Medicago truncatula: one gene and its partners. Each later gene encodes a partner of the first gene's protein in a complex. Links are inferred from orthologs where the notes say so. Each region holds a gene or a part of one and is shown on either strand. Other genes may lie near its edges.

Region 1 (7,508 bases):
GTTAGATTGCATCATATCAATAATTATTGATTAACATATGGTTCACTGGTTCTTTACTAATTTATTTATCTATTTAAAATCATCAATATGAACCTTTTACCACCCTTCTTTTCTCCCCATGGATGATTGGTGCACTCATAACTGCACATTTAACAATGTGTCAACAAGTGAATTCCACAAGGGGGGCACAATGTTGTTGCAAGGATTCTAAACTTTAACATAAAAAGGTCTGTTAACTCATAACAGTTTAACCAATCAACTCAATTATCACATGGTACATCATATTCATCCATTGATCACAAAAAAGGTCTCAAGTACACCCTTTTACATATATAGTCTCGTCTGAAAAATATAAAAAAAAATTAAGCTATCATGTAACTTAATTTGTAATGCAGTGAACCAAAATCAGAAATTTGAAAGATTTGATTTGAAGTTACTCACTTTGATGGGAAGGGTGGGGAGAACGGTCTATTGCTTGAAGTTCTCTGGCTGGCAAACAGGGAAGCAAAGCAGCCTCCAAAGCCATAACACATGAAATCATATCATCTTTTGAGGGAGGAGGAAGAGGAGGAGAAGATGGCAGCTGTTGATCAACGGTATGCTGGTTGTCAGCTACTTGGCGATCACCCATTTGCGAATTTTAGCCTGGTAAGGGAAAGACGAGATCATGAACATGATATAAAATGAAATGAATGCTTGTTAATTGTTAAGGCTTCATTTTTCATGCCAGTAAAGTTTTAAATATTAAGTGGTTTGGCCTTTGCTTTTCCTCTACCTATTAGTATAAATTGTCTATCTACCCTCCTTGCCCATTCTTTTGCAAGTATTCTCCACATATGCCCTAATTTGAAAGCAAAATTGCATTGTTTAGAGTTTGACACTTTGTCTCTCTATGATTAATCAAGCATCTTAGAGAGACATAAAGATACTCTTTTAAAACCAACATTGGCGAAGAGACCAATCAACTAACTAATTGAAGGGTAGCATTTAAAATGTCATGAATGAATTTGGGTGAAATCAAAACAGTAGCAAAGTGCAGATCGAATTAAAGTTGTATGCATTACGATTACGAAAATAGATAGATTGATGATTAGATAAAATTAGTGAATTTGGATTAATTATTTAATGAGATAAACTCACAGATCGATATGCTCCGAGTGAGGTTCAGCAGCAGAGCTCCGGCGACAAATCGGACACGGTAACGATTCGTTGACCAGAAGAAGAAATAGCTACGATTGCTAATCAGAACTGAGAAGAGAGACTGCGAAGAAGAATCGAGGGAATAACAAGAACAAGACAGGGGTAAAATAGGTATTTCTCATGGTTCGCTCATCACTATCCACCTCGACAAACAAACCTCATTACGACCGAAACTAAACTGCTTAGTGGTTTGCTTTTTAAGATATTTTTGTTATATTTACATATAAAAAAAAATTCATTTTTAGTTCTAAGAGATTTTTTTTTAGGGAAGTTCTAAGAGATTATGCATACATATTTTGACGAAAGGAGAAAATTTAGGTATAATTCCTTAGTTGCTTTTCGTATGGTTCTTAACTAAAAATATATATTTTTTGGATATAACAAACTTTGAGAAAATTATGAATTTGAGGAAATCATGGTGAATTTAGTTAAAAAACATACGAAAAGCACTTAAGGAATTGTACCTAAGTTTTCTCCTTGACGAAAAAATAAAGCGTGCATATGAAATGACAAGCATAAAGCATATCCAATTTCTTGCTAAATGTTTCTTATTAAATTTAGTGTTTGTTTGGTATTACGATGGACAGTGGCGGAGCCAGACAAAAAAGTTTGGGGTGGCTGCTATTAAAAAAACTTGAGGAAAAATCGGGAAAAAATACAAAGAGGTGCCGCCTAAATACATAACACCAATTCCCCGAGAAAACCCAAAACCAACAATGGCATCAAACAATGAGGCCGAAGTATATACTAGCATAGAGCAAGCATACCCCTTCCTCACTCCTGAACTAGCCAAGCATCATTGAAAAGCAACCACCAAAGACAGAAAAACAGCTGCAAGCAGCGCTGATCTGCTACACCAGTAGCACCAAAAAACCAGTAAAAAACTGAAAACAGCAGAAAATAAACTGGCAGTAAGGCACAGACAGCTCCGAATACTAAACCATGATCTCTCCTATGGCTCTTGCTCTAGCTAGTTGTCAAACTCAAAGTTCTTTTCTAAGGTTTCATTTTATCATAAATAACTCTTCTTCTCTTCTCCAACATTAAGCTACAACCACATAGCTATCTTCTTGCTCCAATTTATCTAACATTACATAAAAATATTCACAATTTCAAACAACCATCAAATATACGGCATTTTAACTGCATATCTTCTTGAGTCATCATCCATTCCACTCCATTAGCTTTCAATTTGGAGCAGTTTAAGATGTAAAAAGTTTAGTCCTACATCAATAATACTATATTTCACATAAAATTAATCAGTAGATTCCTCCAAGAATTTACCACAAAGACTTAAACAAGTAATTTCATTAGAAAGTGAAACCATCACTAGGCTATGATTAAAACTATGATTAACAAAAAAATCTTTGTAAAGAGAGTAAAGGTTATGCAATTATAAATTTATCAATTAACAAAGGACAGTGAATATGGTTACGACCAAAGGGGCAAAGAACAACAGTCAACAGGTTTAACAATTAGAGTTGAAAATCAACTAAAGAACTCATGGCAATCAACTAAAGAACATGTAATCATCAAATCATAATCATAATTGAAGGAAATTACATTCAATTTCACATTACCTTACAAGTTACAACAATTAGGGTTTGTGGAGAGAGATGGAGATAACTCTCTAAACTGAAGGAGGAGAGTAATCGCGGCGGCAGTGATGGATGGAGAAGGAGAAGAGTGGTCGCGGCTCACCGGCGGTGGTGGATCGATTTGCTTTGGTTGGGAGAAGAAAAGGATCGCGTTTCTCACTTGTTCTCAGATGAAAGAGAAACGGGAAGAGGAAATGAGACTGAATAGGAAATATTAGTACTATTGAAGGATATTTTTGTAATTTCCAATATATAAAAAAATTTATTTATTTTTAGAATGGGTTGCCACCCCCAGTTCCGCCACTGACGATGGATATGTCAGAATCACGGTTATCGACCGCGATTGTGTCAAAACTACTATAACTTTTGAAAAATCAAGATGGACCACCTTGATTCTAGCATACCGACGATAGGTACCCACAATGATAAAAACATAGAATTAACTTTGGGTACAAGAGATGAATAACTTGATTTTCTTCGAGATGGGTAATATAAATGGAAAAAAATAGACTCAGATAGAGCTTTGGGTTATCTCCAACTCCATAACACAAATCATTATGGATTATCTATATAGGAAAACAATTGACCAAATATTTTTACATTATATAAAGATAATGAACCAATTCACCAAATGAATACATGACTTTTCCAATCAATGTACTTGAGTAGAAGAAGTTTCACATCCCTTTATACTTACACTTCCTCATCACTGTGATCAGTTTCAGCAGATACTACCGGTAGTAAATCATAATCTTGTGTTTTGGTGGTAGGAATAGGAATGGACAAGCTACTACGAGACTCTTTTCCTCCTGGCTTTGAAGATGCATTACCATACCAAATCATTCCCATTATAGCAATGATCATGCCTACTATTACTTGTAGATTGAGACCCTCTCTTCCAAATAAGATGAATCCTAATGTAAGGACCAGAATAGTCTTCATATGGCCAAGGACTTGGAATGATACTGCTGTGAACCTTCCAATGCATATGAACTGACTAAGGTTTGTTCCAACCGCGATAGTGCACGAAAGAGCAATGAACAGCTGCAGACAAAAGGAGAAAAACATTGATAAACAGTTTTACATATTTCAGAGATGTATTTGCTATATAAGAAACAAAGAGAGAGTGAAACATACAGTGGATGTTAAACCATAGTTGTAGGCATCAACTCGTTTTCTTGTTAACCAATAGTCAAGAAAGGGGCCAACAACCAGTAAACTTGTTGCCTGAATTGGTGCTATATGGCCCAACAAGTTGAAAGATCCAAGTGAATACTTCTTCTGCAGAAAATGCACATACTGCACAGAGTAAAAGTAAAATATCAGGCCAAATATTGTTGATGGCATCCTAATAAAACAGTATAGTAAGAACTAGAACAAAGCTAACATATGTTACAGGGCTCGATCCAGGCTCTAACGAAGGATCATAAAATAGGTTGAGGGCTCGATCCCTGCTACTAACAAATCCAAATCCTTCTAACAAATTAACCACTAATAATTTGCCTATAAAAAATAGTGATGCATGCATGTGTCCATTGTCTAACAAAGAAAACATGCATTTGAGAATAATACTAATGATTAAAGATATAGCTCCTCTAAAGTGAATTGGCAGTTCAATTTACATGGTAAAGTAAGCAATGTCAACAATTAATGAGAAATTTAAAGAAAAATATTTCCATATATCAATGATTTATTATGTGTGTAGTAACCGTCAACCGCTGATTATCTCACCAACATTGAAATTACATAAGTTGGCTGTTTTTGTCAACTTTAGATTTGTAACAAGGTGAATTAATTCTTACATACATGACAACAAGCACCATGCATCTGACAGTACACATTTACCAACTCTAGAACCGCCTTTATGACAACAAATTCAATTTTGATCTATTGCAATCTTTCAACTCAAATTAAGAATTGATATATAGGTTAGCATATTACTTACATATTGCTGCAGTGCGGTGCTCCAAACTGCCACTGCAGCAGCTATGAAACCCTTAGCATTGACACTCACATCAGTGACTGTACATACAGCAACTCCAAGGAGAACCAAAGAAATGCTAAGCTTTGTGTCCCTTGAATATTTCACATTGTCCAAGACAATTTCCAAGAAACAAGATACTGGAATCATACTCAGCTTAGCAATCTGAAATTTTCATTACAAGGTTAAGAAACAATATAAATATTTGTCTTGATCACACGGATATATAAATTTTAACTGTGATGATGCTTTACCTGATAGAAACCGACAGAGTTCCACATTAAACTCACGTTCATTCCCACAATAGAGAAATTTGCAAACAAGACAAATTTGATAAGATCGGGCAAGGGAAGATGAGTGTCTTGGATATATCCGTTCCACTTAAGAAATGATGTCAGCAAGGTTGTTGTGGCAAAATGCAGACCAGTTAAGGTTGTAGCTGCACAAATAATAGTGTATGAATATATAAATATGCAGTGTCAGAACTCAATTACTACATTAGAAGAAATCGTAAGTCACATACTCTTTGATCAACTAGTTATAGAAGAGAAATGATGTTTAATAAATCATTCAGTGCTATTATCAGTAATAAACTTTGTGATAGCGAGATACATATAGACAATAATGCTTATCAATCACAAGAATAAGTGTGTTTTGTTAGGTGGTGATAACGGTTTAAAGTGAGATGAACGTAAAGTGGTTTACATTTGTATACAATTATGAAAAAATCGGTTGAACAATAAATTCAAGATTAAAAATGAATTGTAGAGGCGAAAACTTCAAATTTTAGCTTCCTGTTAAAATGAGTTCGGAATGCAAAATCAATTTTACTTGAGAACTCCAAACATGTCAAAATCAGTTCTCCTTCTTTGAAATAAATTTTGACTTCTCCAAAAGTTAAACCAAAGATACACTAAAATCATGCAAATAAGTTGTTTTAAATAGTTTATTTAATACATATCAGGGAGGGGGGAATTGAAAAGGGTGATGAATTATGACTATACCAAAAGTGAAACCATATGTAGCCATCAGGGCTTTGTTCACAAGGATTATTCCTACAGATGTGACTACATTGAACAGCCATGATGCAAGATCAAGTGCAATCTTCCTATCCCCCTTGGTTGTAGAATCCATATCGAAACCTAACTTTCTTATCTGCATAGAAGGAGAAAAAACGTCGTCAGAAGCACAACAAATTCCAATGAAATAGTTCAACATACAACTTAAAAAATCATTAAAATTAGTGATCTCTGGGAACAAAACAGCATTAAAACTCTTAAGGAATGCTTTGAAACTCATGCGATCCTACTCAACTTGACGGATTAGTATCCGCAATTGCACAGGGCAATACTCAATTTACATCTAATAAACATAGATAAAAATAAAACAATAACCATGAAATGAAAGTGAGATTGCACAATCCTCTTCAGATTCATTAATCCTCTCACTTTATAGCAATTTTAATTCTTAGGAACATCAATAATTCTCAACACAACAACTTATTCAAGAAGAAACCATAGAACACTTATTTTCATTTCATTTCTATAATTGCATATATGTTATTTCTTACACTGAATAAACAACCTCTTACTCTTTAAGTACCTGATGAGAGAAAATTTGGTAATGTAATGAAGAAACTAATAGAGGTTGCTTGTTGTAGATAAAAAAAAAAAAAAAAAGAGAAAGAGAGAAAAGCAAAGAACACAGCTCAAAATTTGTGTGATTTGGTTTCTAACTTTGATAAGTTACAACTGAATTTTGGGTGCTTTTTGTAACGTTTAGGTTGAGTGTGATGAATTGATGATAATAAAATGAAGTGGGGACAAATGAGTGAGTTTGATTTTCAGGGGTAAACCAAAACTAAAACGAAAAAAAGGAGATGTTGCTTGTTACATAATAAACGGAATGTCATGAAGAAGAATTGTCTATTTTGAGCACTAGTATTATTATGTCAATACTTGTGATGATTAAATTTTACCTTAAATTTAACTATTGTTATTTATTATAGGTACAAAAATGATGGCTGATCAGAATAAATGGGAGGACTGTACTCTTCAGATGTTACACTAATTGTTGTTAGCAAATTAATTTAAAACAAGTAAAATTAAAGAATTAATTTTTATAAAATTTATATATAAAAAAATGGATTCTATACATTCTTTAGGTCAAGAAAAAATGGGTAAAATTTTTATTTAAAATAAATACGAGGGAAAAACGTGCATTTATATATTTATATAATTTTAATATTATTAATAAGGCTAAATTATACTTTTTTATTAACTTATCATGTGGTTTCATTTTGATCTCATAACTATTTTTAGTTTCGTTTTGGTCTCTTAAATGTAATTTTGTTAATCAAACTCGTCCTTATTGTTACATTGTGCACACGTGTCATTTGTGACTCAATGTTGTCTAAAAAAAATTAGACATGGCAACGGGGGCGCGGGGGCGGGTTTAAGCATTATCGCCCTCGCCCCCCATCTCCAAACCATATCGGGGTAAAAATTGAACACCCAGCCCCGCTCCAAAGAGCAAAACAAATCTAATAAACATGTTTCTAAAGAGTAATATATAATATATTAAAATAAGTTGGTGCTTATTTGACAGAAAATGAAAATAAGATTATAAAATTTAATAAGGAGATTTCAAAAAGCAGGTGCAGGCGGAGCAGGTATAAGTATCCCCCACCCCCATACTAAAAACTCAGATTTCCTCGCCCCACACCCAGT
Region 2 (7,078 bases), on another chromosome or scaffold:
CAACTACTTGGAATGAAGCCTGGGGAAGCTCCACTGTGTCATTTCTTCCCTGTAAAGCACATTGTATGGGCGCCACTCCCACCAGAGGCCACCAACTGAACAAGAGGGAACTAGTTTGTATCTTTGTTAATCGGTGTCTGTGTCGTTCCCAATACTTTTCATGTTGTTGTGAATTTCTCAGTACTGTAAGGTCTTGTTTCTGTGTACTAAATAAGGTATTGTTTGTGTACTAAATAAGGTTTTGTTGGTCTACTAAATAAGGTCTGTGTAATAAATAATAAATAATTGTGTATAAAAATAAACCTTGGTTTGAAGTTTGAACTGTTTAGGAATGAGTTGGCGTCCCTTTAGTCTTTCAAATTTAGGTGGTTGTTCAATCATGAAAATGACATTAAAATAATAATCTCTATATAGACCATGAGATTATTGAAAGACTAAGCTGAAGACATATTCTCATGGGGGTTAAAAATTTTGAATGGCAAATACACACACAGACACACAATTAGATACACACACACACACACTAAAAAGAAGCATACTTATAAATCACACAATCAAGATGATTCTCACAAATCGGAATATGGTGCTTCATATGCCTCAATTGCAAACCTACAAAATCAAAGTTTGAAATTCTACAAACTACAAACCCAATTTACCTAATTTTACCCTCGTCTTACAGGGCACAGAAACACAGGATCACAAGGAAATGGGTAAACCTTACATAATTGTGCATATGGTATTAATAAAAGGGTGGGTCAAACCTAATCTTACACTAATCCATCTTCAGTTACAAAAGGGTGGCACGGTATCTTTGTGGGATATAAAACAATAAAACACCAAAGCATCACTAACTGAAAACTTAGAAGTGTTGCATCATGCACTGTGCACATAAGTTACATCCTTTAACATACAGCTACTAAACAGGTAGAAAAACGGCAAAAGCAGTAAAGTCGGGTGCATTTTGAGCGGTGAAAATATAAAATCCAAGACATTATTAATAATATTAATAATCTCATACAGTTAGGTAAATGCTACTGAGCAGCATCTTCAGAAAACCTGGCATCAAAAGGGGCCGAGGGATGTGAAAGAGCTGAACTAGAAGAACCAGCAGGTCCTCCAGAGCCATGCTGCAATTCAATCACAAGCCACCGAACCGCTTTACTCATCTGTTCCAAGCGAACTGCGCTGATTGGTGGAAGACCCGTCATGGTAGCTTGTCCAGGTTTCCCTGCCACATGCCCTGTAGCCTCATCCACTAAACACTCTGATCCAATCCTTTGCTTCACAGACTCCACATACTCCTCGGCTTGATCACACGCTACTCTAAACAATTCCCACTTTTGCTTAAAGCTTTCGAGAGCAGTGTCTGTTGCAATGTTTTTAAGGGCAGTGGAAGTTTCTCTTGCTTCCAGCACAGTTGCTGCTGCAGCAATAAAATCTAGATAGGCACTATTTAGAGAATCAACCACACTGTCCATTAATCCTGTTTATTTTGATGTTAAACACCTATGAAACACACAAAAGGGCAGATAAATCATGTGAACACTAAAAATTATCATCAAGACCAAATTACGATATCAAAATTAACAATACAGAATCTAGGATATCAATCACGCCGCTAGAGCGCGCAATCGCTAGAGAGTGGAGATCTGCTGCGACGCAACTCTAAGAAATAACGCTGCAAGAGAAGGAAATGAAAATTGGGAGAAGGAAAAAAAAAAACTTACGGTGGATTTTGTCTTCTAACTGGTGATAGACTCCGGCTGCGATCCCGGGCAGATTTTGATTAAAACAGGCAGTTTAAGTTAGTGCGACGGCAGCCAATATGACAATGGGTGGGTCTCTTCAAAAATTGATGTGGATTGGCGATTATAATCTCATCTCAATTTTTTTTTAGAGCAATGATATTATTTGACAACTTTGTTTTTCTCTCTTCTTATTGGTCAAAAATAATGGAGAGAAAAAAAAGAAGAGAGGATAAGACGGTCATGTGAGTATAAGTGAGGAAGTTGTACAAAAGGGGAGTGGTTATGGTGCATAAGGAAATCCTTATGCACCGTGCATAAATCCCAACATAATTGCTTCCTACACCTCCAATGTGAGCCAAACCATTTTTGTTCAAAATAAAAGAAATATGATGGTTGTGATGTGTTTATGCACGGTGCATAAGGAAATAACTTATGCACCATAACTTTTGCCGTACAAAAGTTGTCACAAATTGATCATTTCTCTTTTTTTTACTTACCATTTTTTGAACAGATATTATCGTCTATAGTTGTTTGTGACAAAATGTTTGTTTTTTTAATAGAATAAAACCACATTCATTCATTCAAATCAATAGTACATCGGAATACCATTCTTCGGATTTGAAACATTGACGTTCAAATCTTTGATTGAATAATCAAAACACCGCAATAAGACGACAAATCAAACATGATCGCACAAGACGACGAAATACACATCACCACACTCAGGTGACAAAATCACGAAGAAAAAATTAGATCTACGTGAAAAATCACTCATTTAGATTGAAATGGAGAGAAAAATATTAAGATAAATGATTTTAGAAGGAAAAACCAGGAACAACATGTTGGATAGAGAACTTAAAAAAAAAATTGTAATAAATAGGCATGGGCGGTTCTATGGCCCGGCGACCTCGGGTTCCGGCCCAATTTTTTTCAATTTCTTATCTAAATCCTTATGAATATAAATTGGACAATTTATTTAGATTTTTTGATTATTTGTTTGCCACTAAGTTGTTAATTTTTTTGACAAAATGTCATATCTATAGTAGTATAATTAAATAATACAGTTTTTTTAAATAATTAAATAATATAATAGATGATAATACTTCCCAAAATAAAACTATCATATGCATTCACGGATCTAGTGTGGGGACAATGGGGTCAAGCGACCCCACTTGCCTCCACATGTGTATTGTATTTTTAACCCAAAATTATATATATAGTTTGACCCCTCTTTATATAGTATTATTGTTTTTACATAGTCTATTTATTACATTATAAAAAATTACAAAACTAAGAAGGATCCTAACGAGTGTTACAAGAGCACTAGTTAGTAAATCAAAAGAAGTAGTTTTTTTTTTTTTTATAAAAAGTTGTTATAATTATTATATCGATACAAATAATGTTTATCTTTAAGATAAAATTTTCTTTTACGAAATCTTTAACCAATTATCTCAAAGCATATCGTTGGCAAGACCATACAACTACTATTATAATATAAACTATTCTTATATTTGTTAAAAAAATGTTGTGATTGACGCTACGTTGGTGGTCAAAAATAATTAATTATGGTTATATTTTTTATACTCCGCTAGAACTTGACAAATATTTTTAAAAAATCAACATTTTAGGGCAATTATATATATAACTTGTATAACTTTCACACGCTTACACATTTATAAAGTTTTATATAAATTTTTATGATATAACTTGACCCCACTTATTAAAATTTATGGATTTGTCACTGATCATATCAAACTTTTAAGAAATTACAAATCAAATTTAAATTAGGTTACAATACAATCAAAAAAGTTTGATTCCTATATAGCCAAGTGGGTTAACACTCGAGCTACCTAGGCATAACTTCTCTCAACATGACTTAAAAGATTTTTTTTGTTTTTTTGTTTTTTTTTGTAAATCAGATATCCTCTACTCACAACTTGGGAGGTTAATCCCTCAGTGATCATCAACTCTTTCCAAGAGTTTGAACGTTTTTGCTTGCCCATGCCGGATTCAAATTCATGACATTAGTTAAGCTGCAAGATATTTGTGTCATCTCATTTAAGTGTTCTTAGATTAAGAAATATCGGTGAATTGTTGTTTATGTTTCTTCCAATGTTTCTTGTCCATCGGGTACAACGTGGGTATCACTATTTGCCTTGGTACAATTGTGTTGTGGGCTCCTCCGATTTTTTTATCTTCTCAGTCTCATCCTCATGCTAGTAGTAGCTCTACACAAAATGTTGCATATTTGTTGATACTCGATAACACTTCAAAAAATGTTCTTAACGTTGCTCATAATATGTATTTCGATTCCTTCAAAACATTGTGTATTCTAAGACAATTTATGGAATAACTATCTAAAAAATTATCTTTTTGCTTATAAATGTGACGAGGGAGAGTTTAAATTTAAATTTAAAAAAAAAATACATTCCAAAGGCCCTAGGACGTATTTTGATCTTTAGCTATTTATTTATATTTATTTCGATGAAATCTAGTTGAGAATATAGATAAAAAGTCATTATCATTATTTATTGTAGTGACAAAGAAAAAACGAATGCCTTCAAAACATGAAAAATGAATTCACCAACCAAAAATAATTATGAAATGAACACCATGTATTCCCACGCGTGAGAAACTGAAAACGGATGCCGTATCGCTGAGGCACAAGACACACGCCGTGGCCCACTGACCCCACCCCCAATTCTAGTTCAAATTAGACAAATCCAAAACCCGAATCTAAAATTATCGCAAACCCAAAAGGAAAAAGAAAAAAAAAGAATTAAAAATATAAAAAGAAAAAGTAAAAAAGAAAGAGAAAAAGAGAAAAGAAAGCATTAACCATGGCATGGAAACTGCAACGACGAGAAGAAGAGTAACAATGTTGGTACGTGGTTAGAGAGAGAATCGAACGCCACGATCTCTTCTGAAATCTCAACATTCTCTCATTTTTCGTTTGAATTTTCACCCTAATTCGTGATGGAAGCGTTGATCGAATTATGCGACCTCATTGCACAAAATCCATCGCAATTCTCCGATAAACTCTCGTGGATTTGCGATAAATGTCCACCGCCGGAGTATCTTTCCGCCGGATCGCCTAGGGTTTCACGTTCTCAGCTCAATGCCGTTACCGCCGTCGCTCGTTTCTTATCTAACTGCGTAGATTCCACCGATCTACGACCTAAATCAGTCGCAATCGAGTTCCTCCGTTCAATTCCGCATTCCTTTACTCACTCCTTTTGGCCTCAACCGTTCAACGCCGATTTCGTTGCATCTTTCTTCAACGATTTCATTGGTTATGTTTCCAAAGCTGCACAATCTTCGTCGGATTTCGCGGACGAGGTTGCTGGATTCACCGGTGAAGTTGTGTTATCCGCGATTGCGGAACAGGATTCTGTTATTGCTAGGGCTTTTTTGATGGCTGTGTCGCAGAATTTTCTTCCTATTTCGTCTTCCGATGGAAATAAATTGGTTACTTGTTTGATTGAACAATATGCGGCACAGATTGCTGTGGCTGTTCCTAGCGCGCCCGGGGAGCAAAATGCCGGAAATTCCGATAATTTTTCTGCTCAGAGCTCGCCTCTGAGTGGAAATCATCAATCTCAGACCAATTATAACGGTAGTCTGACTAGTAATTCGAGTGGAGCGGCTTCTAAGGCTGCTGGTGATGATGCCACTGCTAGCACCGCTTCATCGAGAGGTTCGGTTATGGCAAATGGGGGAAGTCATATATGGAGGAGTAATGCCGATCAATTGGCGCAAAATTTAGGTTTAAATGATGGTGGTGGATGCTCTTCTGGGCAACAGGTTACGTCCTTTGAGGAAGAGTCTGTGGACTTTTTGGAGAGACAAGAAATTGCATTTAAATTGATTGCTCATGTGTTGGAAAAGGTTCATGTTGATCCTGCGCTTTTGGAGCAGGCTAGGTTGATTGGGAAGAAGCAGATTCAGTCTATGTCTGCTTTTCTAAAGGTAATCATTTTTTCTTACAATGCCTTCAGTTTGTATTTATTTTCTCTGTTATGATTCGTCATGGTTTATGCACCGTTGAATGTGGATAGTGGAGTGAGGTTAAAATTTAAACTAGTGTTGTCAATTACGCATTGTTAAAATTCCGTGCTATGCGATAGTGCTATATCGCCACTATAGAGGCTATTTGATAACATTTTGTACTAAATAGCTTATTGGGGAACAATAGCAGTTTGTCCAAATACCGCTATGCTATAGCGGTATAGTGCCACTATAGTGGTTAAAGTTTAGGTTTATTTGAGGAGTGAGACATGTTTTAATGTCTGGAAGTTCTTGCAGATAAGGAAGAGGGATTGGCATGAGCAGGGGTCAAGTCTAAAAGCTAGAATTAATACCAAATTGTCAGTTTATAAAGCTGCAGTTTCTATGAAAATCAAGAGCCTCTCGGCATTGGGTTCTGATTCGAGATCCGTCAAGAGATTGGTTTATGAGGCAGTTGCGATACTGATAGATGCAGCCGAGGCGTGCTTGCTATCTGGATGGAGGAAGTTGAGAACATGTGAAGAGCTCTTTGGTTCCTTGCTTCTTGGGGTAGCACAAATTGCCATTGCCCGAGGAGGTCAGCCGTTGCGGATTTTGCTCATTCGCCTAAAACCAATTGTGCTCAACGTTTGTGCTCAGGTGCACTTTGGTTACTTTTCAATATCATATTTCCATAAACATTTTGTTTTCAAACTTGCATTCCAATTGACATATAACTTCATGAAATTTGCTTTGCTTGTTTTTTAAATTCTTTTGAAATGTTACTTAGCAGCCTGAAACATGGAGTAGTAACCAGGGGACCATGTTCGAGAGTGTCACAAAGGCCAGCTGTCAGATTATCGAATCCTGCTGGACTAAGGAGCGAGCCCCTGTAGACACGTACATAATGGGGTTAGCTACAAGCATACGTGAACGGAATGATTATGGGGAACAGGTTTGTGTACTAATTTTTTGTGCATCCATGAGGCAGAAACTGATAATAAATAAAAATATATTTGAGTGTGTCCATATTGTACTGTCTTTTTTTCTTCTTTCTGTGTGCGCGTACATATCTATCTATATAACATAACATATATTACGTTTATATATTCATGTATACATTTTTATTTGTTATTACGTGACTGAAAGGTCACAGGTTCAAGTCTTGGAAACAACCTCTTGTGTAAAAAATAGGGTAAGGCTGCGTACAATCCACCAAAATGGTGGGACCCCTTCCCGGACCCTGCATATGCGGGAGCTTTAGTTCACCAGGCTGCCATTTTTTATACACTTCCATATACTTTGTGGACTTTAGTACACATGTGCTTTCTGATACATGAGAG
Region 3 (8,272 bases), about 37 Mb from region 1:
GTAATAAAATGGGTTTTTTCATTTAACTATTCTTATAAACAGTAGTTACTAGTTAGGTGAATCGAGATATAGTAAAAAATATATATTCATTAATGGAAAAAAAAAATAATGGTATATTAAAATTATAAAATAACAAGCAATGTGAGATGAACCTCTTAGATTTTTTTTTTAATGATGGATATTATAGAGTCATTATCCTAGTTGACTTGTCATTGTAATTGTAAGAGACTTAAAAGATGCTTTCTCTGCCCAAAAACATTGCCAACTTTTCTGCTTGTTTGACTAGCCCCTCTCTTCTTATCTTATCACTTTCTTTTACCATTGTATACAGCTTTTTGGTTTTCTCTCCAATCCATTACTTCATTTCCAAGGTGATGATCAATAAAGGGACAAATCTTTTTTCATTAGAGTTTTTTGCATGTAAAGATGTAACAAAGTGATTAGTAGTAGTTTATTACGTTAGTTGGTGTTTCCAAAGTAATTGTGCATGAGTTGATTTTGGTGAAAAATAAAGTGTTTAGTAGCGAGGAAGGTGAAAAATAATTATGAAGAATGCTACAAAAAGTGTCAAATTATGTGTACCATCCTCCTTTTAAAAATGAAATGAGCAATATAATCACAATCAGCCCAATGACAAGATTAAATAGGGTAAATCCACTCGTCTTACAAAATCAAAGATCAAGTGCATACTGTGTACAATTTATTCTTTTTGTAAAAGATTACATTCTACTCCAACCCCCTTTACTAAAACTTACCATTAATAGTAAACAACAGAGTGGAACACTGATAAAAATGCATCCAAAGTGAAGCTACTAATTGTGGCTTCCGAGAAATTGCGGTGAAATGACCCTTTAAAGGTGAAAATTGAAAACTGGAAGCCGAACCAAATGTATACAAAACTACTTCACACCAAACCCATGTCTTGGCGAATTCAAATTTTGAAAAATAGATTAAAAAACCACTCAGCTGGTGTTTAGCTTTGTCTCAAATCTTCATAACTTCTTAAACTACAGGAACTTTACAAATTTAATGAAATCTTGCTACAAGGACTCGACGAGGTTAATACAGTATCTTCTGTAAAAACTATAATTCGCATATGGCCTCTTATCTTTCGGTTCAACTAACCGAATAGCAGATACTGAACTATGCTACTTTGAACTTTGGAAAAGATAGTTATTTTGTGGACTGTTGAGAAGGATCTTTTTGCTCTTGTTTTGAACCAGTCACAGCTGCAGTTGCTGCTGCTGTCATGGCAGCTGCAGCCGCGCCCATCTTTACACCACCTGCAGCCTTCATTGCACCTGCTATTTTAGCAAACGCCGCTATACCTCCAACAAGGATGGCTCTTAATGCAACTGTTGGTTTTACTGCCATAGCTACTAAGAAAGGGGTAACCTGCAAAATGTAGATCAAACTGATACTTTTCAAACTAAATAGTTTCACAAATCACGACACAAACATAGGATGATCATGACATGCTACATTAACACCATCATGGTTTCCATCAACCGAGCAACATTAACAACCTAAATGAATGCACAGAGACTATGATTTACTATTTACAAACCTGAAATGGATGAAAATTCATTATATATATATATATAGGGGATGTATCAAATGAGAGGACATGTTATTGTGAGAGGATGAGAGGACTCATTTATAGCCATTTAGTTCAAATTAAACGGTTCAGATTTAATGCTCCATATAAAATTAATTACACATGATATTTTATCCCCTTCTAATTCGCTTCTCTCCCTTACTCCTTCTCCTTCCTCCTTCTCTATCGGTTTTCACCTTTCTTCTCTATCAAGCTCCATGGCTCAAACCCAATTTGTTGTACCAGACATACACAGCATGATAAAAGAAAAGATAAAAGAAGTTAGTTTTGCCAACATTATGATATAATGTATTCTTGCCAACATAGAGAGTGATCAAACTTCACTTTATGATATAGTAAGCCTGGAGTCCAAAATAGAGAGTGATCAAACTTCACTTTATGATATAATGTATTCTTGCCAACATTTTAAATTTGCTCCGATTAAGCTTTTGTTAAAAGATTTGAAGAATGGAATGCCTAACAAAAAACCCCTCAAAGACTAATCCCTTACAGAAGTTTAAATTTGCTTCAATTAAGCTTGTGTGAAGATCTGAAGTATGGAAGGCCTAACAAAAAAATCCTGGAAATTTAAAATGACAACAAACGCACCCAAGCCTCCAAAAGGTTGGTGTTGAAAGTACATCAGAATTTGTTAAGACCATCAGAAGTTGATGGTCTTAACATTTTAAATTTGCTTCAATTAAGCTTGTGTGAAGATCTGAAGTATGGAAGGCCTAACAAAAGCTTAATTGAAGCAAAAGGTTGGTGTTGAAAGTACATCAGAATTGGTTTTCGCTAACATCTATCGTCCAAAACAACTTTGTCTATTGGTGGACTCTAGCTTTTATCTCTCTATTTTTTTTTACTGAAAGATCACATATCATAAGCCAAAACAGCTTTAACACAACAAAAAAACTAAATCAACAATTCCAATGTTTCCCATCCATCATCATTACAGAAACATTTTTTTTTTTTTTTCCATTTGTCCTATTTCTTCCGGTGTCATCAAGGCGCTTCAGAGAACCATGTCGAAGGAACTCGGAAAAATGACACAGTAACTTCAGGAGAAAGGGAGCTCTCTTGTGGCTATGATTTACGGAAGTATCCTAGGAGGCTCAAACTCAAGAGGAAATCACAAATAATAGCGGTTTGTTCAAATTCCACTACATGACTACACAACAAAGCTATCATCTCCGCTATTTAACAAAATGTTGTACTAAATGGCGTATCGTGGAACAATGCCGATTTGTTCAAATTCTACTGCGCTATAACGCTAAAATAGCCGTTATTGGACAGCGCTGGCCATCAATCAAGATATCTCATTCTCATTATACTAGTCTGCAAGGTTTGCATAGTTGCATCATATGGGTGGCAGGGTCGGGAGAAAAGGACTAATGTGGAAGCATAAGCCAAACTCAATGAAAATTATAAGGGTGTAAAAAAAAATAGCATTGTACAAAAACCTCTTTTTCTCAAACTCATTGAACATGAATTAAGTTGAAGCATTGATAAGTTAAAACTTAAAAAAGTCCTCTTTGTTTTCATTTTCCAGTATTAATTAACTTCTAATATCACAAATTCACAATCAACCCAGCTAAATAAACCCTAGAAAAAACATAATTTTGCCCCAATTTATAATCTTGATCAAATTCTTTAGGAATGAATATCTAACAAAACAATTGAACATACAATTTTGATGGCATGTAGAATATATACTACGCAGCCAGTTGATTAAAGCTTAAGAGGAAAAAGAAAAAGAAAAAGAAAAAAAAGGGGGGGGGGGGGGGGGGGGGGGGATTAAATTGAAAAATAGTGAAACCTGGAATTGAAAATGGAGGTTGATATGATGAAACCTGAAAGATGAAAAACCTTTAGAAAATGATTATTTGAGGATTGAAATAGAATTGAATTGAACAGACACAGTGAATCTAAACCTTAATGTTTCCTTGTACCTCGGACCTTGAAATCAGGAGGTGTTGTGTTGTTTCTTTCCTGCGGCTGTGTTTGGTGGTAATAACATGAAGGGATTTTGAACACAGTTTTTGTCCTAATTTATGATTTATAAAGGGTTGGTTATTTTTGGCCCCATTTTAATTGTTACTTTACTTTTTTTTACTCAATCTCAAAACAATGGTGGCTATAAAATATCATTATTATTTTTTATTAATATATTTTTATTTATTGAATTTCACCTCATTTAATCATTTTATTAATAACAATAATAATAATTAAAAAGACTATTTTAATAAATAATACTCATTTTATCATTGTGATCAATTTAACTAATTATTTGTCTAAAAAAATCTAACTAATTATTTTAAAGAATCGCGCACAACCCAAAAATAATAATTAAAATAAGACGGAGGAAGTGAAAGACTAAAATTCTAATTACTTATAGTAGTTTAAAGTAGAACTTTAGAAATTTGTAAGAACTTTTGATTAGAATTTAAATGGATTGATATTATAATTTTTATAGGATTTTAAATGAATTTATGATTTATAAGATTTAAAATGATCGGCTGAATTTCAAACAAATATTTAAAAGAAATGATAGGACACTCATTTCTATTTAATATTATTATAATACAATCATTTTTAATTGTTAAAATTCAAATAAATTTCACTAGTTTTTGTCTTTTATATGAATTTCAACAAATAAAATAAAACTGAATGTCTTGACAAAAAAACGAATGTGTTAAAAAAATTGCAAAATTATCGGAGTCCATAAAAAATAATAACAAAATAATAAGATTTTAATAAGAAAAGTTAAATCTCATAATTTAATATATTTTAAGTACTACTAGAACACGTTCCTCTCTTGCGAGCAAGCTTCACAAATTAGTACCTTTAATTTTAGCGTTGAATAATTTGCAAATACTAGATACATCTTTAGATAAGTTGTTTGGAATTGATGGGTAAACCATCACTCAAGTAGTAATCATCATGAACATATTGAGTTTGACTTTGACCTAAATATTTCTATTGTAGATAATGTAAGAGATGCATCTAACCAAGACTATGAATCCAATTCTATTTGATGCTAAAAATTAAATCACAATGTTATTAATGATATAGAAATAGTACTTGCAAACTTTTTTTTTTTTGTAAAGAACTATAAATTTTAGTTTCTGTTGGTTAAAAAATACTCCATCCATCCTGCAATAAATGACCTGTTTGAAAATGTGTAATTTTGATCTATCTTATTTTAACCATATTTTTCTACTAATATACAAAGATAAATAATATCATATAAGATGTCGTTAGATTCGTCTCGATGAGTATTTTCAAAATATCAAATTTTCATAATTTTTTCTAATATATTATTCAAGATATTTAAACTCAAAATTACGTATGCGTAATTGGGTCAACTGTCTCTGTTATTTAGAGATCGAGGAGAACACTTAAAAGAGGGATCGAATTGAAGCGAAGGTGTAAGGATAGAGCAATGGAACATTACTCTTCTCCCGGAGGAACATGGACGATGATCCCAACCCCTAATTCCAATCCCCAAATTCAATCTCAATCTCAATCTCAATCCAATCAAGACCCAAATCTTTATCTTCAACAACAACAACAATTTCTTCATCAACAACAACAACAACCTTTTCAACAATCTCAAACAACCCAATCTCAATTCCAACAACAACAACAGCAACAACTTTATCAACAGCAACAACAACAACGTATTCTGCAACAGCAACAGCAACAGCTACAACAACCTCAACAGCAGCAGAATCTTCATCAATCACTCGCTTCTCACTTTCATCTCTTAAATGTATGTTAACCCCTTCAAAAACCCTAATTTTAATTAATTTCAATTATTTTCACATTTTATTTAATTAATTGAAGATTTCTTGTTGTGGATATAGTTGGTGGAGAATTTGGCTGAGGTTGTTGAACATGGAAACCCGGATCAGCAATCAGATGCATTGGTATGACTTTTTCTATGTAACACTCACACTTATGATACGACACCCACACATGTGATTAAGTTGAATTAATTTATTTAATCAATATTTTTTTTTACGGGTGTCAGAGTGTAGTGTCATGTCTGATTCATAAGGCTTTTTATTAATTCGTCTCATGGTTATTTATTTGAATTTGAATACATTACTCATTATGTTAATTTTGTTGGTTGAAGATCACTGAATTGAGCAATCATTTTGAGAAGTGTCAGCAGCTGTTAAACTCAATCTCTGCTTCTATTAGCACCAAAGCTATGGTATCTCTTCTTTACTTCCTTTTGTTATGCTTTGATTTGATTTAATATATTTATTTTGTGTGCTTGATCATCAATGTAGTAAGAAAATAGTCAGCCGTTGTATTGGTAAAATTCAATGTTTATAGTAATAAGCTATTAAGCGAAGTACATAAAGAGAAGTGATTCGTTGACTCTAGGAGTAAGTATTTAGTGATACTACAAATCCTGACCTTAAATTTGTTATTAGTAATGACTGTGATTGATTACTATTATTACTCACGTGATACTCCTCGAGCCTGCACATGTGAGATGGCTTAGGTTTTAAAAAATGGAGAGCGATACCTTTAGATTATCATCAAAGGCCTATACCCACAAGCCATCGATTATGGTTATAAAAAGGATTACACACTCTTCTTAATCTTGATGCGGTTAGGTAGGTGGATTTGGCAGCAGCTACAGGTCTGTTATATCAGTTGTGGATGGGGGTTTTTGCTGCGTTTCTCTCTGTTTAGCGTAACTGCAGTTTGGTTTTTCTGGTTTTTTATGTTTTCCCGGGGTGCCTTTTCCTCCTGCTGTCTGTTCGGTTGGCATCAGGTTGGGAAGGAGCATTTCGGCCCCTCTTGTAGTTCCTCGCCGTTTTGCACCTCTGGTGCGTGGCTATTAATGTTATGCTGTTTCAAAAAAAAAAAATCTTGATGGTGAAAAAGTCAAATTGGGCTTTTCGGTGTTCATTCCAGTGTTGTCAATTGCGGAATACGGAAAATAGTCTTATGTTTGAATTTCCCTATACTACCGAGCTATCGCGCCACACTAGCAGCTATTTGACAACACTTTGTAGTAAATAGCTGATTGCCGAACAATAGCGTTTTATTCATATTCCGCCTGTACTGTTATCGAATATCAGCCATGGAGGAAATTGGTGGCCGTTTTGTGGCTCTCCGCAATGCCCAATTTTGGCAAATATGGAGGGATTTTATGCCATAATCTGATGTGACGGCGCCACAAAGCGGTCGGTATGGTGGGACTTTGGTTCTCTGCCACATACAGCCTTCTGCCATAGACAACACTGAATTCCATTATGCTATAGCGCTGTAGCTGCTATTTGACAACACTTCGATTTGAAAGTTCTATTTTGATCTTACCACAAATAATTGGGTATTCTGGCGATTATAGCATCTGATTGTGAAATATTGGTCATGCTTTTTTTTAAATTTTATACCTAGTCTTTGTTTTCATATCATTATCTCGATGGACAGAAACACATGGTATATGACATACCTTGATGATTAGAAAAGGAATGAATAAAACAAATGATTTCAATGACGCAATACATAGACTCAAGAAATATGGCCCTCATAAATTTCTGCAGGTTAAGCTGTTTTTTTTCGTGTAAAGTAACAAACAAACTAGGAAGGTGATGTTAGAGAAGAAAAGAAATCAGTGACTAATTGAAAAACCACTTGAGAGAAATCAATGACTAATTGAAGTATTTCGGTGTAACTCTAAATACGTACTCTCATAGATATGTGTGTGATTTTGTGTCTAAATTGACATTCTGTTAATACTGTTTAGCCCTGGCTTCATAGATAGTCAGATTTTTGTTTTTAATATTTATTTCCGGTCCTTCTAATAACGAGGAGTCGAGGACTCTTAAGACATTTGTTAAAGAATCAAGATTTAGAAAGCTTTTATTGAAAATCAAAGTATTCAAAATTCAATGTATTATTATTCATCTCAAAAGCTCCACTTCTGATTTCTTGACATTTTCCTTTTTGTTTAATAACATGCCCTGTGCATGATAAACAATAATTGCTGATGTTATTAATAAGAAGAATGATTCGTCTGCTCTCAGTTTTCTCAATGTGATTGTCCTCGAACCATTAAAAAGTTAAGTCTTTTGCTAGTAGTTTGAAGCCGGGGTTCTTGGCCTAACTTATAGCTTTTCGGTTGCTTAATCCAGACCGTTGAGGGACAGAAGAAGAAGCTGGAGGAAAGCGAGCAATTGCTAAATCAAAGAAGGTCTGTACAAATTGTATTAAATATCTCTGCTTGGTTAAGTCCATAGATTCTAAATACATGCTGTTTTCTTCTATTTCAGAGATTTGATTGCCAATTACACAAAATCTGTAGAGGAGCTTGTCAGATCTGAGCCATAAGAGCCTGTAATTCTTTTCAGACAGGTAATGAACCTTATATGAGATTTTATTTGTTACTACCTCCGTCCCTAATTACAAGGCCCTTTTGAAAAAATAACGGGAATTAAGATAGTGGATATTTGTATTAAATATGTTTGTAATTACTATTGTTTTTACAATTTTATCCTTTAAGAAAGAGGGTTGGCTTATGTTTTCAACATTCTATTTATTGTTGATTGAAGAAAAAGATGTATAATGGAATAGGGGCATGTATGTAAAGAAATAATTAATGTAGTTGAAAATAGAAAAGGGGTCTTATAAAAAGGGACAAAAAAAATT
Region 4 (7,458 bases), on another chromosome or scaffold:
AATGTTCGATATTTTCTTGGTCGAGCTGATGGGGCAATCTTAGTTACTTATTTTAATTTATTCAACTGGTGGTTTTGTAAACAAGTGATTTGTCTGTTTGTATAAAAAACTGATTCTTGATGTGCAGAACGAGAAAAATGATGATTATCCATCAGAATTTCAGTCATTCTTAGATAAGCAATGGTCGTTCAAGGTTGAAGTTGGTGATGGTAATATAATAAATAATTGGCATTGCTTTTCTGTGAAAAGGACTACTGATGACTCTGCTGTCATCCAACAATTCATAGCTATGCATAATAGAAAGGTACATATGCCCAATTCTTTTCATCTGCTATATTTTAGACCTTTAACTTTAGCAGAAATCTAATTTTATTAATTTTATACATTTAATTCCAGCTTTTAAGAAGAGGCTGACTACATGAATGTCAGTAACTAAATTAGCTAATGAAGAACACTTACTGGTAAAGACATTTATAGGACTTAAATCATAGAGTTTGATGTTGATCATGTGGGTTGATTAAACTATTTTAAGTTTTGTTTCTGTTTTGTGATATCAATGGTATATTCATTGATGCTATTTTGATTTGGTTTCGTGCTTGCAGGGTGTTGTCATGCTGTCAACCATGTTTGGACATGACTTTGGGGACCAGATCGGTCGCTACGCCGCGACGTTAGTGAATCCCAACTATAATGAGTTAGAAGTTTTGGTGCAGAGGAATAATGGCGGCATTTTCCTGACAAAGGGATGGCGCGCACTGCATGACTTTTACAATGTTTCACTTGGTGCCTGGGTTACGGTTGTTTTGGTTGGGAATGGAAAGTTTAAGATAAGGATTAAGGATAGGTTTGGTAAATCGATTCGATATCCAACTTTCATCCCAACCATGAAGTTTGTCGTTAATAGGATTGATGAGGATGCCAATTTGTCTCCTATGTTTCCTTTCAAACTGTTGTGGGACGATGTATATGTTATTCATCTTATGTTGATCGTTGTTAGTCATCACCAAAATGCTGTGTTGTGTGCTAGAAGGATGTTTAGTACTTTTATTGTAAATAAAGTGATTGTAACAACATGGCCTAGGAACAAAATATGGTTCTGTTAGGTAACAAAAATAATTTCAATTGGAAAAGATTTTTAATTAGTCGTTGTAGCAAGCTATTATGTGTTTGATTTTATTTATGGTTTACGTATATGGAGAGTATGTTCTGCCATTCCATGACATATGTTTTTATCTGCTGAAAACGCATACACTTTAGACCAATTTATATGTATATTAGTATTTGGACAATTAATTGACGGGTTTATAATCTAACCAGTTTCACAGATACATTGGTGTTATCCTTTATATTACAATTATGTATTAATAGGCAGCTTTTTAATCTAACTATGTTGACACATACATGGTTATAATCCTTTATATTCCAATTATGCATTATATCTCAAATTGCAATCTAAGTTTCGGAGTCACATATGCTCATTTCATACAAAACATAGTGACAGGTAAAAGCTAACATTTACTAAACAAATTAACATACATACATATAACATGAGTTCTTTTAATGGACCTTATGATCTATCGCACCTATATTTTTTAATAAAAAGTGCAGGTAATGTTTTGATGCCGCACGGGTGAAAAGTCTAATTATATTTATTGAAATAATATACTCCACGAGAGGCCCAATTACAATAATCAAATTTCATTCTCCACGACACTCAAGTGCCGTAGTTTTTTTACCTTTTTTAATGTATATGTAATTATGGTTGTGGAACGGCAGTTAACTTCCGCCACAAAAAAGCGAACAGTTAACTGCCGTTGGGGGCATTTGAGTCATTTTCTGGTGTGGGACAGTAATTTTTAAAGTGTAAAGAGCAATGCCCTCATGCCTTCTTCCTCTCCTACTCTTTTTCTTCACTCCTTCTAAACCAGTGATAAAGGGTTATCTGAATATCTTCCCCTACTACTCTGTGTTTAGTCTTCCCTTATCTTCCCTGATCTAAGTTATTCCTCTTTGTCGCGTTTTAAAAACTGATTTTTACTTAAAAATCGATCCATGACAGCAACGTAGCACGTTTACATGGGTGATGCGGTGGGAACAGACAATATCACAGTGGATCAGCGCTGGGATAACTCGGTCAAAGCGGCCGCCTCACCCATCTGAACCACTCGAGCGCGGCTGGGAGCGGCGGCATCAAAATTTCCGCTCCCCACAGCTATATCAGCTGTAGCGGCCGCTATTGACAAACACACGCCAAGCATTGATACTCCATCAAATTTGAGCAGAATTGTTTAAAATGTATGACACTTGTTGTAAATATGATCGTATATTTTGTAATTATTATTACAGATTATATTCAGCCAGTTAATCTTACCCGTTAGGAATAGCATAGTCCATTTAATTAGTTTAGTGATTCAACTCTTATTACATTTAAAATAATATCCAAAAGATTACTCACAATTTCTACAGTCCAACATAACCATATTTAAAGCTTCTACGAAACTTTGTAAAATGCAACATACCTGCTTAGCAGCCTTGACCAAAGAAGCACCCATGAGCTTCGGTTCTTCAGAAAAATTTGCCCCGTCCTCCGTAGGATGTGGAGGTGGTTCGGGGTAATTTGGCGAGAGGCGGTTAGGAGGAGCATCCCTTTGCAATGTTCCGACGGTATTTAAAGCTAAGTTTGCAATCAAATTAACTTGTTCTTGTAGCTGAGAGATTATATCCATTACAAGAACAACTTTGTGGTGGAAATTGACTCAATAAAATTCTAGTTGTCAACTGCAAAATAAGGAACAGAAAGTAGAAATTTGAATTTGAAAACGAACAAATTGATATATAAACAATTTATCAAACACTTGGCATACATTATAAAATCTAAACTATTACGATTGGTTGAGCAATATAGTGAAAACCCAAAAACAAACACAACAGAATCAAATGCAAAACTTAATCACAAAAAGGAGATGAAATCAAAGATGAAGTTTTGATTACAACGAAGCCATTGACTCCCTCACTCACCAGCAGTTGTACTTGTAATCCCACCCACAATGGCGCAATTTTTTCTCTCTTCTTCGAGAGTGTTTCTCTCGTTTTGTTCTTTTCGTTTCTTAATCGCACCAGTATTACCTATTATTAATTGGGTTGATGGGTCAGTCTTAGATCATGGGTTAATGGGTAAGCTAGAAACCCATTTGGAGTTGGTCGACTAGTTTTTTTTTTTTTTTTTGGCATAATTGATCTGCCAATCCTTTAACTTATTTCTTTTATTCAATTTGCTCCAATTTTGATAATTTTAATATCTTAAAAAAAAAAAATTGTTGGATTACGGAGGTCTATCAGATTTTATAGTGTATCAGTAACACCTAATTTATTTACTTTCTTCTTCATCTTCATTCATCCTTCATCAATATTCATCAATAAAATCAGAAGAAAAAAAATATTTAAACCTACTATTTAATTACTACACCACCATCATTGTCAACTTCATCTATCATCATCAACACCCTCTTTCATCCTCATCAACTCAAACCCGAAATTAATCACTCCACCATAACCATCCCTAAATCAAACTTCCAACTTCAAATCTCACACCCAAATCCAACATTATCATCATAATCCACATAATTGCTTCCCTAAGTCACACCGTTTCTGTAACACACCAAAATCAAATCTCATACCCAAAATCAACATTATCATCAAATGGGTTTTTGAATTTTTTTAGAAATCCAACAATTTTTTAGATACTTGAGCTTTATATAAAATTGAATTACAATTAAACCTTCAAAATTCAAAATCACACATAGAGTTGTCAAAACGGGCGGCCCGGCTCGTTTAGGGTCGGCCCTAACGGGCTTCGGGCTTTATCGGGCCGGGCCAAAAAGCCCGGTTGAAAAACGGGCTTGAAATATACTACCCGAGTCCGGCCCTACACGGGCCGCGGGATTAACGGGCCGACCCGTTTTAAAAATTATATATATTTTTTTTTTCAAAAAGTACTATAAAATACTCCTATAATTTTTTTTTATAAATAATATTTTTAATATGTTTAAATAATGCCTAGAACAAAATAAATTGTAAACATTTTCGTACAAACGTCGTAAACTAAAACGGCGAGGAAAACAATTTTAAATAAATTAGATACGTTATGGTTATAGATATTTATATATTCGATCTTTAAAATTATAAATAACGAAACGAGTGAATATAATTTTATATTACATGTATATTTGTGTTAATTCATTGAATTTTCACTTTTATTTATTACTTGATAATCGACTAAGTAAAGAATTATTTGAAAAATATATATAATTTATAGGATTTTTTTTGTTATGCGGGCTAGCGGGCTACCCTCGGCCCGTTCGGGCTAGCCCTAACGGATAGCGGGCTTTTTAGGGCCGGGCTAAAAAGCCCTATTAAAATTCGGACTCAATATTTAAGGCCCAAGCCCTATAATTAATCGGGCTAAACGGGCCAGTCCATACGGCCTGGCCCGTTTTGACAGCTCTAATCACACACATACAGATTCCCAAATCACCGTCGAATCATTTCAAAACCATTTCATTCAAAACAGAAAACAAAAAGATTCTTCAAATCACTACAAAAAAAATAAAAAATAGAAATCCCTTGTTGGGAAACTCCCTCTAACGAACCGACCCTGAACCAACCACAACTTTCTTCTCCCGTGGAATCTCCAGTACCCACGCCAGTAATTTGGGTCGTCGTCTTTGTAAGAACGATTCCTTGATGCATTGGTGTGGCTTTGATTCCGATTCCGGTTATGAGTTCCCTCTCTGATCCTTTGCTTACTTGTAACTTCGTCTTCTCTTGTTTCCGGCACGGTGGCAGTGGCGATGGTGGAGTAGTTGTAGCTGTAACTCCCACCTACACTGCATGGTTCTGAAATGACAGAAATTTCTTCAAAAGCTTACTCCAATGGGTCCACGTGTGGTAGATCAATTTACTGAAAATGATAGAAATTAAACCTTCAAAAATTTCTTGTGCTGAGTTTATTTACTTTTATGGAACAGAACAGATCCATGCTTTTGCATACGGGTCATTATTTCTTATGTCAAATTTGGAACTTGTTGAGGTTTAATTGAGGTTTTGTATGAAGATTGATAAAGATGATATTGAAAAAAAAAATTGGGTTTTTCTATTTTATTTTATGAAGATGATGGAAGAAGAAGAAGAAAGTAAATAAATTAGGTGTTGGTGATACACTATAAAATCTTATAGACCTCCCTAATCCAACGATATCTTTTTTTAGAGGATTAAAATTATCAAAATTGATCAAATTTAATAAAAGAAATAAGTTCAGGGACGTGTTTGAGAAAGTTAAGACTTATAGGACCAAATTGAATAAAAGAAATACGTTAAAGGATCGGCAGTTCAATTAAGCCTTTTATTTTTTTAAATGAAAGGAGGTTATACCATTTCATTGATTAAAATGTGTTCAATATAATTTGGTATTTCTAACAAAATCTAGAAACTAGTTGAGGATATGGCCGCCTTAGCTAATCTAGGGGCTGCCTCATTTGCTTGTCTCCTCACAAACTCAACACTAGAGTTGACATAGTATTGTTCAAAGATAGTTTTACAATTATGAATTATCATCCCAAATTCTGTAAAATCCTGATGTGCAGAGGAAAAACTATCTACAACTTTTTTTAGCATCAAGCTCAAAATCGATAGGTCCCAAGTGTAACTGATGAACCCATTCTAAAGCTGATAACAGTCCAAGAGCTTCGCCAACATGTACCTCCCAGACTCGAGTAAACCATTCAGTTTTTGCCAAAACAAAATTGCCTCATCTCTTATACAAACTTCTATTCCCACTCTATTAGAAAGCTGGGAGAAAGAAGCATCAATATTGCACTTAAATCTTCCTTTAACTGGCTTGATCCATTTCACATTTCCTTCTTGTCGCAACTGTGCACAAGATGTATTACAAATCCTACATGCATCTTGCCAATCATGAAGCATAACATTTTCTCTCTCAACAACATAAACTGGAGCATCAATTACCTCATCCCACACTCTGTTGTTTCTTTGTTTCCACATAGTCCACAACACACAACAAAATAAAGTTGCATCATCCTTAGATAAATCATGTAATACTTTGAAGATAATATTCTTGTTATCCATATCTTGTAGCAAAATAGAAATAGAAGAAAAGAAAGGAAGCATACTCCAAACATTTAAGCTACTTGAAAATTGAAAAAATAAATGAAGTGTATCCTCATTGCTCACCGTACACAATGTACAATTCATAGGGCATGTGACTCCTTTATCTTTTAGACGTACACGGGTTGGTAAGCAATTCCTACAAATTTGCCACATAATTTTTTTTACCTTCGGAGGAATCTTGAACTTCCAAATTATATTCCAAGAGCCTAGTACCTTGAAATGGGATGTCTCAAGTAATTCTTGAACAAAAAAACAGTATGCACTACGAATAGAGTATTCGCCATGATTTTCTTTTTTCCAGATGAGTCGATCTTTAGTCACTGATGGGTAGAGCGATGTGATTTGTAACGCCCTAGTTGTTTATTTAATTAATTTGAATTATGTGGAGTATATATATTTTTATATATGATGTTTGGTGATTTATGCGGAGTATATATATATATATATATATATATATATATATATATATATATATATATTTATATATATGTGATTTTTGAGTGTTTTATGTGGTGTATTATTTTATTATATAGTTTATTTAATAATAATTATAATAAGTATGAAATATTAGTTATTTTGGAGTTTGGAGAGTTATTTAATAATTATTAAAATTAATGGGGAGCTAATGGAAATATTAGGGAGTTAAGTAAGAGGGAAGTTGAGAATTGGATGTCAGAAGCAGTTTATGTGAAACCAGGAACAAGGGAGAAGAACCAAGGGAATCCATTTTTGCTGTGCATTTTTATTCTGAACTAAGGTAAGGGTGAGGTTTACTTCAATAGTGTAGATTTTAAAGTCTGATTTGAGTTTAACAGGTTTTTGGAGTGAAATTGAGGAATTGGGTTTTAATTGAATTTATGGTTTTTGGGGTAGATATTGCTGTTCTGATGTTAGAATTTGGTTTTGGTTGCATAGAAACATTCATTTCTCATCTGTAAACTGATTTGGGGAGTGATTGGGAGGAAAATGGGATTTTTGGGAAAAACCAGTTTTCTGCCCGTACAGAAGTTCATCGCTCGCCTCGCGAGTAGCTGTGCTCGCCATGGCGAGTGAGCAACTTCATAGCTCGCCTCGCGAGCAGACCAACTCGCCATGGCGAGTAGCCCAGATCAAAACGTGATTTTTGAAAAATTGTTATAAGATGTTTTGGGGATGGTTTAAGGTACCTAGATGATATTAATGATGAATGGTGGAAGTTTTAGGTTAAAAAGATGAATAGGGAACTTAGAATTGGGATTTGAGTGAGAAAATGGCACTTTTCCCGAGAGCACC

What was found.
Region 2: mediator of RNA polymerase II transcription subunit 28 (region 1) and mediator of RNA polymerase II transcription subunit 32 share a complex: the UniProt entries of both Arabidopsis thaliana proteins name them as parts of the mediator complex. The link is inferred for Medicago truncatula from reciprocal best matches to the Arabidopsis thaliana genes AT3G52860 and MED32.
Region 3: mediator of RNA polymerase II transcription subunit 28 (region 1) and mediator of RNA polymerase II transcription subunit 9 share a complex: the UniProt entries of both Arabidopsis thaliana proteins name them as parts of the mediator complex. The link is inferred for Medicago truncatula from reciprocal best matches to the Arabidopsis thaliana genes AT3G52860 and MED9.
Region 4: mediator of RNA polymerase II transcription subunit 28 (region 1) and mediator of RNA polymerase II transcription subunit 21 share a complex: the UniProt entries of both Arabidopsis thaliana proteins name them as parts of the mediator complex. The link is inferred for Medicago truncatula from reciprocal best matches to the Arabidopsis thaliana genes AT3G52860 and MED21.

What each region holds. Positions count from the first base shown.
Region 1 is NC_053049.1:42,679,638-42,687,145, forward strand, and holds the start of mediator of RNA polymerase II transcription subunit 28, read right to left. Parts: upstream 3,050-7,508; 5' UTR 2,781-3,049; intron 2,439-2,780; 5' UTR 1,968-2,438; intron 1,570-1,967; exon of another isoform or gene 1,141-1,569; intron 646-1,140; 5' UTR 632-645; coding exon 442-631; intron 1-441. Other genes in the region: UDP-rhamnose/UDP-galactose transporter 4, read right to left, coding at 3,492-3,842, 3,936-4,097, 4,744-4,944, 5,034-5,218, 5,784-5,934, 6,174-6,215. UniProt on the Arabidopsis thaliana protein: Component of the Mediator complex, a coactivator involved in the regulated transcription of nearly all RNA polymerase II-dependent genes.
Region 2 is NC_053044.1:57,776,759-57,783,836, reverse strand, and holds mediator of RNA polymerase II transcription subunit 32, read right to left. Parts: upstream 1,889-7,078; 5' UTR 1,728-1,888; intron 1,507-1,727; 5' UTR 1,479-1,506; coding exon 1,032-1,478; 3' UTR 641-1,031; downstream 1-640. Other genes in the region: BURP domain-containing protein 9, read left to right, coding at 1-99; phosphatidylinositol 4-kinase alpha 1, read left to right, coding at 4,725-5,717, 6,054-6,395, 6,526-6,690. UniProt on the Arabidopsis thaliana protein: Component of the Mediator complex, a coactivator involved in the regulated transcription of nearly all RNA polymerase II-dependent genes.
Region 3 is NC_053049.1:5,735,031-5,743,302, reverse strand, and holds the start of mediator of RNA polymerase II transcription subunit 9, read left to right. Parts: upstream 1-4,982; 5' UTR 4,983-5,042; coding exon 5,043-5,372; intron 5,373-5,466; coding exon 5,467-5,529; intron 5,530-5,738; coding exon 5,739-5,819; intron 5,820-7,758; coding exon 7,759-7,817; intron 7,818-7,896; coding exon 7,897-7,954; 3' UTR 7,955-7,978; intron 7,979-8,272. Other genes in the region: uncharacterized protein, read right to left, coding at 1,174-1,374. UniProt on the Arabidopsis thaliana protein: Component of the Mediator complex, a coactivator involved in the regulated transcription of nearly all RNA polymerase II-dependent genes.
Region 4 is NC_053048.1:13,820,946-13,828,403, reverse strand, and holds the start of mediator of RNA polymerase II transcription subunit 21, read right to left. Parts: upstream 3,169-7,458; 5' UTR 3,019-3,168; exon of another isoform or gene 2,992-3,018; intron 2,779-2,991; 5' UTR 2,727-2,778; coding exon 2,520-2,726; intron 1-2,519. UniProt on the Arabidopsis thaliana protein: Component of the Mediator complex, a coactivator involved in the regulated transcription of nearly all RNA polymerase II-dependent genes.